Linked DNA regions of Ovis aries. The protein of the gene in region 2 purifies or fractionates together with the protein of the main gene of each other region. This does not show direct contact. Links are inferred from orthologs where the notes say so. Each region holds a gene or a part of one and is shown on either strand. Other genes may lie near its edges. The genes, in order: EDC3, USP4 and CTNNB1.

Evidence for each region.
Region 1: the proteins of USP4 (region 2) and EDC3 purify together in Homo sapiens (co-immunoprecipitation; 3 studies listed by BioGRID and IntAct, with this or other methods). This does not show direct contact. The link is inferred for Ovis aries from reciprocal best matches to the Homo sapiens genes USP4 and EDC3.
Region 3: the proteins of USP4 (region 2) and CTNNB1 purify together in Homo sapiens (affinity purification with western blotting; 3 studies listed by BioGRID). This does not show direct contact. The link is inferred for Ovis aries from reciprocal best matches to the Homo sapiens genes USP4 and CTNNB1.

Annotation. Positions count from the first base shown.
Region 1 is NC_056071.1:31,688,266-31,691,920, forward strand, and holds part of EDC3 (enhancer of mRNA-decapping protein 3), read left to right. Parts: intron 1-1,336; coding exon 1,337-1,672; intron 1,673-3,655. UniProt on the Homo sapiens protein: Binds single-stranded RNA. Involved in the process of mRNA degradation and in the positive regulation of mRNA decapping. May play a role in spermiogenesis and oogenesis.
Region 2 is NC_056072.1:50,848,624-50,851,475, forward strand, and holds the end of USP4 (ubiquitin carboxyl-terminal hydrolase 4), read left to right. Parts: intron 1-1,162; coding exon 1,163-1,251; intron 1,252-1,646; coding exon 1,647-1,805; 3' UTR 1,806-2,209; downstream 2,210-2,852.
Region 3 is NC_056072.1:13,860,827-13,864,481, forward strand, and holds part of CTNNB1 (catenin beta-1), read left to right. Parts: intron 1-645; coding exon 646-749; intron 750-863; coding exon 864-1,202; intron 1,203-1,458; coding exon 1,459-1,617; intron 1,618-3,655. UniProt on the Homo sapiens protein: Key downstream component of the canonical Wnt signaling pathway.

The DNA.
Region 1 (3,655 bases), on a different chromosome or scaffold from region 2:
GCCTAAATCTCATCTTTACTGCCAGCATAGCCCTTTTCCATATCAATATTTGGCACCAGGAAGATTTAGACATGAGTTACATATGCATAGTATACATCTTGCAGAATAATTGTAATTAATCTTGCTGATGTGGATTTATTCGTTAAATATTTATTGACGGACTGCTGTGTACTAGAAACCCTGTTAGGGGTACCACAGTGAGCATTTTGCATACAAGGAAATTGAGAAGTTGAATGATAGATATAAGATTATATAACATGTTAATAACGGAACTGAAACTAGGTCCTAGGTCTCCTGACTCATGGTCCACTGGATAGAAGGGAGTTGCTGTGAGAAGTTAGAGCAGTATAGTTGGGATGATCTGTATGAGGGGGTTTGCTCATGATCATCCTAACCTCTACTTGAGTGTTTTAAAAATTGAGGAGCTCAGTCTTACAAAAGGAAGTACATTATGTTTATTCAGACTATGTTGAAGGTTCCATTTGGCATACCAGTCACCTGGTTCATCCTTTTGGGGTGGTCAGATGGGGATCAAACTATAAATTCAGTTCAGGATTCTCTGGGATGGTGTGGTTTGGAGAATTCTGTGGGGTCTTTGCTGCTGGAGGAGTAGTTGACTGACATGTGGTGGCCAGATAGAGTCTCAGAGACAGAGAGTGACTTGAGTGCTGTGGTGTTGATATGCACCTTGGTATGGCCTCTACAGGATTACGTCAGTATGGTCCTTGTCATCATTTGATGGTTCAGAAATTGCTAACCCAGAGTGATAAAATTTTAAGAAAAGAGGTCACCAGAAGATCTAAACACAGGCCTGTAAGTCAAAATACATCAACTTATAGTGACAGATGTATATCCGTCTCAAGATCTGTAATCTGTCTAAACCCAGGGATTCCCTTCCTGCTGAGGTCTAGCCTGAGACTGAGTTAAAAAATCAGAAAATGGCTTGCTTGGTAAGCATGGGATTCAGAGCCAGTTGGCCAGAATCTTTCTTTGAACTTCAAGTTACGAGGACTTGGCCTTCTTTTACTCTGGTTATTTCTCTCTTAATCAATGGCTGGACATTCAGAATCAGACCACCTGGACTTGTGTGGAGAGACTGCTGTATTCTTGCCCTCCACTTTTTTGATATAGTCAGTTGTCAAAAAAGCCTTGATCATTACCAATTCCTTTATGAAGGGCAGAACTTCAGATTTTCAGGAGTACTGTGTATTTCATATTCACTGTTACTTGGGTACTTTATGAAATCTACTATTCCATGAGATTTGTGGTAATTTGTGTTCCCCACGGAGCACTTTGTGTGAGCATACTGACTTTAGTCCCTGTTTTTTTTCTGCAGGGTCATCTAGTAGCAGGCACCCAAACCAGGCAACTCCAAAGAAAAGTGGCTTAAAGAATGGCCAGATGAAGAATAAAGATGATGAGTGTTTTGGGGATGATATTGAGGAGATCCCAGACACAGATTTTGATTTTGAAGGGAACTTGGCCCTTTTTGACAAGGCAGCTGTGTTTGAGGAAATTGATACCTATGAGAGGAGAAGCGGTACCCGTTCCCGGGGCATCCCAAACGAGAGGCCTGCTCGGTACCGCCACGATGAGAACATCCTGGAGTCAGAGCCCATTGTCTACCGTCGGATCACAGTGCCCCACAGTGTGAGCAAGGAGTTCTGCACAGGTACGTTAACCGCACACCCCACTGGCTATTCCTCACCCCCGCCCCACTTTTTTTTGGTGCTTGAATCAGAGAGATGCAGATTCTGAGTCAGAGCCTTGTAGTAGGAAGTGGCTTAAGTGGCATGGTCATTGGCCCATTATATCGTCTTTTAGAGATTGTGGCCAATTTATCATCCTGCTTACTGCTCGATTGGGATGGGGGCTGATTTTTCTACACACCCATTTATATCCTGTGCCTGGCAGGATCTGGTCTGCTGTTTATTAAGTAGGTTATGGTTAACAACTAAAGGCATAGAGGCTAACTCTTTAGCTTGACATACATAGTTAGATCTGTTTTCACTTTGGCTTTCCTATTACTGCCTGTAGATTTTACCAGAATTTCAGCTGTTGCGCTGGTTGTTTGCTGGGGTAAGAAATGGTCAGAGCTGAGTGGTTGAAACCATTGGCTAAAAGTAGGGTTTCCATAAATTACCTTTGTGTACTATACTGTCCTCATCTCCTGCTGGCCCTGGTCATTAAGGAGCTAGTCATAAAGTTCAATGACAGTAATCTTGTAGTAGTACCTATACTTGGTACCTTGGTAGTTATGTATAGGTCACTGTGTCTGTTAGCTCAGTAATTTTAAAGTCTTTATCTCTCTTTTAGCATAAGAAACTTTTCTTCAAATGTGGCCTTTGAGGCAGCTGTGGGACAGGTGGTCTGTGTCATCCCTGTCTCTGTCCCTTCCGCCCAAACTTATTAACTTGGCTTCTTGGAATACAAATAGAAACTATCGTTATTGAGTGATTTGGGAGCTAAAGGGGGAATCATGTTCATTTTAATAAGGATAATAATCATTTTGGCTTGAAGTCTTGAAAATAGGGTAGCAGTAGCTTGAAAGCTAGTAGCAGTTACGGGAGATTTATGGAGACAGCATAATTTCATTTTGGGGAAAATCAGATACGGTGTGGCATTTTTGTAGACATCAGTGGGGCTCTGTTGTATTTGGTTTTGCTGGGTGTAAAAGGTTCCATGTGAAAAGAAAATAAGCAGATTGTCAGTAAAAGATAGAAATTAGTAGTTTTTCTTAACCTTTCAGACTCTGATAGGCATGCCTCTTTGCTAACGTAGATTACTTAAGTGATACCAGCAGTGTGACTTGATGGATTCCTTTAATTTTTTCTTTTTTTTTAACCACCCATGTTAAGGCAAATAACTTCATTCAGCAGGCTAGCAGTATACTTAGATCCTGCCACCCATCCACTTTTGACTGCTCTCCTTTTTACTGCCCTCAGTGAAAAAATAAGCTGCTTCTACTGGTAACTCTCTGGAAGCTGAGGTGGTTGGCTCATGCTGTATGTGACTTCCTGGAGGTTCCTAAGCTTGGGGAGATTATGGCCTGCCTCAGAGTGAAGTGGCTAAAAGGGAGACAGTAGCTGCAAAAATCAGGAAAGATTCTCAGATCCAAAAGAACCTAAAAAAAACATTTGCCAAGGTAGACAACAGGAGACGTGGGAACTTTTTCTTACTATGTACTTCATTTTCCCAGCTTAGTCTTCATACTTTGTTTAATTTAATGAAAGAAATGAAAGTTCCCTCCTCTTATATTTTTAAATCACAATTGTGATTAACAGACATACTGCAAAGCACATGTGCTAGACGTTGGCCAAGAACTCAGGTATGGCGGCTTGTGGTGTGTCGCAGCCAGTTGGATTTCACTGGAGCGTCGACATTGAGGGGAGAAGACGTCCTGTAGCGTCATCTGTCTGGTTTTTCTCTTTGTTCTCAGCAGTGATAAGGAGTGAAATTGAAGTCCTTTTGTCAGGCAGGGTCTGTGCTGGAAACAGAGTGAGCACGCAGTTATCTTGCTGAGCAGTTTCTCCCACAAGTGATTTTGTCTCTGCTCCGGCTTCAAGGCACAAGTCTTGAAGCAGGTTTTTACTCAGTGTTATTCACATAGTGCCTGGCTGGGGGCACTTCTCCAGTTGGATCTCCTATCCAAATG
Region 2 (2,852 bases):
AGAAAAATTGTGCCTGTCTAAAAACTGGGACTCTTCTAGAGTGGCTACTTGCAATACCTGTGATCATACCACATCCTATAGCACTTACTCTTCTCTAACTTTTCTTTCTCTGCAAATTAATTTTGATATCTGTATTCATTCATACTGGACCCCTGTATTCATTTTTAATTATTTTAGCATACAGACGTACTGCTTGGGCAGGTTACTTAGCTTCCTTATGCTTCAGTTTCCTTATCCAGGTTAGGCTGGTTGTGTGCAGACCCACACTGGGTCCACAATTGGAACACCGTGATTGAGAGCCATCTTTGTTGCTGTTCCGCCAAGCATGGACAGCAGGGTCAGCCCCTTGGCACCTTCTCTGTCACTTTGTCCTGTGTCCTTCACCACCGCTTGGTGCAGTAAACACTGCAGTGAAGAATAGTTAAACAGCCTGCCAGAGCCACACAGCAGGTCGAGACCAGAAACCGGATCTCCATCAGACTGAGTCGTTTCCGAGAGTCTGAGTGAAGCAGGAATCGGGTATCACTGCTGAGACTGTTGTGAACACATCTTGCTCAGAAAGTGTAAAATCAAAACCGGAAGTGTTCACTCTGGAAAATACTTGGACGGGTGTGAGGAATTGTTACTGAGCCACAGATTCTTGACTCAAGAGTTTCAAAGACAGATAAATTTAAGTTTTCTTGTTCACATCCCAACTCTGCCAACCCAAGCCCCCAGTGTGTCTCTCACTGGGATAACCCCACAGGCTCCAGAGGCAGTGAGAGACAATAGTAGACTGTCAGTCCTGGATACAGTAGGGGTGTTTGACTTGGCATGTTTTTGACAGCTATTGTTTTGCTTAAATCTTAAAAAGTATCAGCTCCTTTTATGGGTCCCCTAACTCTGAATTAGTGCTCATGGCTGTTTTCCCCAAAGTTACAGTATAAAGGCTTAGTCCCCAGCAGCTCCATTTTTACCCTTTTAAGTGCCTTTTTGAGAAGGGAAGATCTTACTTTTTTTTACGGATGAGTTCTCTTTTGGTTGTTAGGACACAAGCTGTAAATTACCTTTAATTTCAGACTCTGGATATGTGTCATGTTTTGGAGTTGTTGAGTGCCAGCCTACTGAGCTAGCCAGATCACCTCTCTTGATGACCAGCTAGCATATTCTCTTCCCTTGGCAGACACTGCGTACGCGAAGAACAAACTGAACGGGAAGTGGTATTACTTTGATGATAGCAATGTGTCCCTGGCCTGTGAGGATCAGATAGTGGTGAGTAGGCCCTCATACCTGGTTCCAACTCTTACCTTTAGGGATTAGAGCTGGGAAGAGTCCCCCAGGCTAGTTGGTTATTGAGTCATCCTGCTGGGACAGTGGGAACTAAGTGCGGTAGAGAAAGAATTGACTATCGTTCCTTCCGGGACCCTTCCTAAAATGAGACACTTGACTCTCCCGAGTCTGTCACAGGGCTCCTACCTTTCCCGGCACCCTGGGCATGGTCAGCATGAGCCAGCCTTAGGTGGTACGGCTTTCACCATCACTTCAGTGTGTGGATGCGCAGGACAGCGGATCCCTGAGGGTGGTGTGTTTTGAATAGAGACCAAAGCTTGCGGGGAATGGGTGATCGTTCCAACCTGTGAATGGATGTTGTGCCTCGTGTGTTTTAGACGAAAGCAGCTTATGTGCTGTTTTACCAGCGTCGAGACGATGAGTTTCATAAGACACCGTCACTCAGTTTTCCTGGCTCTTCTGATGGCAGTGCAAGACCAAGCAGCTCACAGCAGGGCACGGGGGATGACGAGACTTACAGCATGGACACCAACTGACCTGCCCAGTGCCCCTGCACCACAGCACCAGTGCCACCCCCCAGGAGAACACCTTTGACACTGAAGACTGCTAGTGTGCCGTCTAAAAACCAGATGAGGAAATTTCCTTTTATGAGCAGAAGAAAAAAAAAAAAAAAAAGACCCTGTTTGCTCAGAAGGGTTATGTCAAGAGGCTGAATTATTTTTTTTTGTACAGGTGGTAAAAATTTTCTGTAAAACAGGTAGAGCTCCAGAGTTGGGGTTGGCGGTGGGGAGCACACAGTGGAGAGTGGCGGATTCCAAAGAGTGGAGAGGAACACACTGTCATGGAGTGGGGGGCCGCCCTGCCCTCCTGGATTTCGGATTCTGGTGCTGGTTACTGGTCCTCCCAGTGGTCTACCCACAGTAAATCAACCTCAAGTAAACTTGATGTCGTCCCCTTTTCCCTTACTGTGCACCGAGATAGGTTTATAATACCAAAAAAGTAGCCACTGATGCCCCTTTCTGTTTCCCTTTGAGTCACCTTGAATTGCCAGCTTCCTTCTCCCTAATGATGCTTGGTGGTAGGCTTCCTGCCCTTCAGTCTTCTGTGGAGCCTGGCAGTTCTGTTCTGTTCCCAGCATCCTTGATGAATTGAGACTGTTGGATATGGTCTGGCACTTGTACTAGGTCTCACTTAAATATCAGGACACGACACTGCTGGGCGCCAGGTCTCCCGCAGCCGTCTCTCTCCGGGTTGGCTTCGGAATAGGAGCTTTCCTGGGCTTGGAAAGGGCTCCCGTTCTGCCGGGGACTTTGGTTAGAAGTGAGATCCCCGCCCCTCGGCCTCGGCCACGACCCCTGTGGTCTGATTTCCCCACCCTTTCCCCGGGGCTTACGGCCATTGTTGCTGTCCCCTCCGTGCGTGCGTGGGCCCTCTGCTTCCCTATCACGCTGCGTGGGTTCAAAGAACGAGGTCATCCATGCGTCCCTTGTCTGACCTTTAACCCTAGCCTTGGGGGTTGGGCTCGTTAGTCCTGGACACGCGCGATCAGCTGATGAGAGCGCGCGACGACCGACCGTTGGCGG
Region 3 (3,655 bases), about 37 Mb from region 2:
CTTTAATACAGCCCCCGAGAGTAAGCATTCTGGTGCTGTCTTTTTAGACTGTGTTTCCACCCTGTGAGTTTACATGAACTCCTTCAGGGATTTGCTCGGATGGCACCTTCATAGTCAGGTATCCTGGTTACCCTACTTTAAACTATAGCCCCCTCCTTTGTCTTTGTTGTTTGTACACTTAACACCATTTGACATATAGTTTTAGCTTTCTAATAGTGTATTTGTTTATTTTGTGCTTCCAGCTAGACCACAAGCTCTATGAAGGTATGACTTTTAGACTGTTTGCCTCCCTGACACAGCTCCAGTGCAAAACAGGGCCTGGTATTAAATATTCCTGAAATGACTGGATGAAAGGAAATAAGTAATAGGAGTATTACCTACAGGGAGACTGGAGATAGTGAAGGCTTTTCCACACAGGGAAGAAACAATAGATACATAAAACAAGTTGTCCCTAACTGAGGTGAATTAGAAAAGAGAGGGAAACAGAGCAGCATTCCAGAAAATGAAAGAAAATAAAGGACTTAGATGGAGGGGATAAGCTTTGGCAACAAAGAAGGATATCCTCTGAGACTAAAGTACACACTTAGTACTGATAGGAATTGTGAGCTAATGGCCATCACCTTAGATGTTTTTTAATGTTTTTAGGTGGAATGCAAGCTTTAGGACTTCACCTGACAGATCCAAGTCAGCGCCTTGTTCAGAACTGCCTTTGGACTCTAAGGAATCTTTCAGATGCTGCAACTAAACAGGTACTTTCGGACTCTAAGGAATCTTTCAGATGCTGCAACTAAACAGGTACATTCAGAGTAGATTGGTAAATGTCAAGCTGAATGTGTACTTAGTGTCCGTTTTCATCTCCACAGGAAGGGATGGAAGGTCTTCTTGGGACTCTTGTTCAGCTTCTAGGCTCAGATGATATCAATGTGGTCACCTGTGCAGCTGGAATTCTTTCTAATCTCACTTGCAATAATTATAAGAACAAGATGATGGTGTGCCAAGTGGGTGGCATAGAGGCCCTTGTGCGCACGGTCCTCCGTGCTGGGGACAGGGAAGACATCACTGAGCCTGCCATCTGTGCCCTTCGTCATCTGACCAGCCGGCACCAGGAGGCTGAGATGGCCCAGAACGCTGTTCGCCTTCACTACGGACTACCTGTGGTGGTTAAACTCCTACATCCACCATCCCACTGGCCTCTGATCAAGGTAAACTGTCAAAGTTGAAGGTTGCAGAATTGAAAACAGACAACTTCTGACTATTACTAGCAGCCTGTCTCGGCGCTGGGGGCTGGCTGATGAGGAGCTGCAACCAGGAAATACGGGTGGGATGAGGGTAGGGGTTTAAAGTGTTTGTGTCGTCCGTTTCATCCAGGTGATAGGGATGGATTTAGTGTGGTAGGCGTTTTAGACTAAACATGACTTTGTTGTATGCCAGTTCTCCACTCTTTCTTCTTACCTGCAGGCTACTGTTGGGTTGATTCGAAACCTTGCCCTTTGTCCAGCAAATCACGCGCCTTTGCGTGAGCAGGGTGCCATTCCACGACTAGTTCAGTTGCTGGTTCGTGCACATCAGGATACCCAGCGTCGTACATCTATGGGTGGAACACAGCAGCAGTTTGTGGTAGGTCAATCTTAGTAGTGACCCCTGGCCTTTTAAAAGGAATGCGTAAATCCATAGGCTCCTGAACTACTTTGGTCATTGGCTTCCTCCATTCTCCAGCTTCCTGAAGGGCTGCTTGCTATTGGCTTAAAGAACCACCATGTCTCTGTGGCTGCGGAGAATGAAAGGAGGAATATGGCCCCTGGTGATAGTTCCCTTGACATATCCTTCACATCGCTGCCTCCTCAATCTTACAAAGGGAGTGTGGGGTGTGATTTACTCCTATGGGGTCTCATCTTGTCCATACAAAAGGTTCACCTCTGTCCAAAGTAGCAGAGGCATTAATTTGAATCCAAGTCTGTCTGATTTCGGAGCCTGTTATTCCCCACTGCAGTTCTACCTATAAACATATATTGTTAAAAGTTTATTTTTAATGGGAGTGTAACTTCTGTACCATGTTGTGGTGATTTCCGCTGTCCAGTAGCATGGATCAGCTGTGAGTTTACCTACATCCCCTCCCTCTTGAGCCCCCCCACCCCCACCCCTCAGGCTGAGCTCCCTGGGGTATTCAGGCATCCTCCCACTAGTGAGCTGTTTTACATGTGGTAGCGTATATATGTCAGTGCTACTTTCTCAGTTCATCCCACCTTCTCCTTCCCGTTAGGTCCACCAGTTCTTCTCTACCTCTGTTCTTGCTCTGCAGAGACGTTCATCATGTAGATTCTATATATGCATTAATCTACGATGTTTTTCTCTTTCTGACTTCTTTCACTCTGTATGACAGACCCTAGGTTCATCCACCTCACTACAGCTGATTCAGTTTCGTTCCTTTTCAAGGCTCCTGTTTCACCGTATATGTCTACCACAGCTGTTTTATCCATTCATCTATTGATGGACATCTAGGTTGCTTGCATGTCCAGGCTGTTGTAAATAGTGCTTCTATGAACATTGGGATACAAGTGTCCTTTTGAATTATGGTTTTTTCAGGGTATATGCCCAGTAGTGGGATTCCTGGGTCATAACGGTAGTAATATTCATATTTTTAAAATGAATCTCCATACTCGTCTCCATAATGGTTGTATCAATTTATGTTTCCACAAACTGTGTAGGAAGATTCCGGCATTTATTGTTTGTAGATAACTATAAATATTTAACACATTTTTTACTGTCTTCCAAGAGTGGTTTAAACTATTTCCATGGACTTACAAGAATATCAACAAGAATAAGTCATGGTGTTTCAGGGATCTTTACTTGTAATCTTAGCCTGAAATTTTTGTTTCTAATAGTCTGAAACGTTGATGTCAAGTTTTCAGTCTTAAAAGTAGCTTCATTATTAAGTAAAGATTTATGATTCCCCAGCATGTGTTTTAAGACTCAGAGTCTCTTACTTGATCACGTTAGAGAACAAGACTTTCCAGAATAGATCTTGAGATGTCGCTAGTTGTGATTAGAATGCACTCATAGGGCACTTGGGCTTTCTCCACTCAGTACTTTGGATATCGGCCGGTCTCCATGAGGTAGCTTAACAGAATGCAAAGGGTACCTTTTAAAATCTCTTCTCTGGGAAGAAAGGAGCTTTTGTGTCATAATAAAAGTAAAGTTGGATATAAAAGCTGCAAATTAGCAGTAGCAAAGTTATAACCTTTTTTAAAACTCAGAAAGAGGGAAAGCAGACTGTAGTTATGTTTTGCAAAAGCTAACTTCGTTATCCCATATAGGCTATCAGTTGAAAAGTCTTGGAGGAGGTGAGTGGATTTTCTCCTGCCAACTCAGTAGACTTTTAGCAGTAGGTGGTAAAACTTTGCTAAATTTTCACCAGGTACACATAGGTGTACAAAAATCGAGGGAGCACCTGAAGGGCAACACTGACACAGTGCCTGCACATTTACTCCTTTCTTCCCTCTTCCCAGAGTGCTGGGCGCCTTATTGGGAAGAGTGATCTTTGGGAGTCAGAGGTACATTGAAGCTGTACTTGGCTGTGCAGTTTTGGAGGTGCTGTTTGGAATTAGTGCTGACAAGAGGCCACTTTCACAAAGTGACACTCAATTAGTGGATCCAT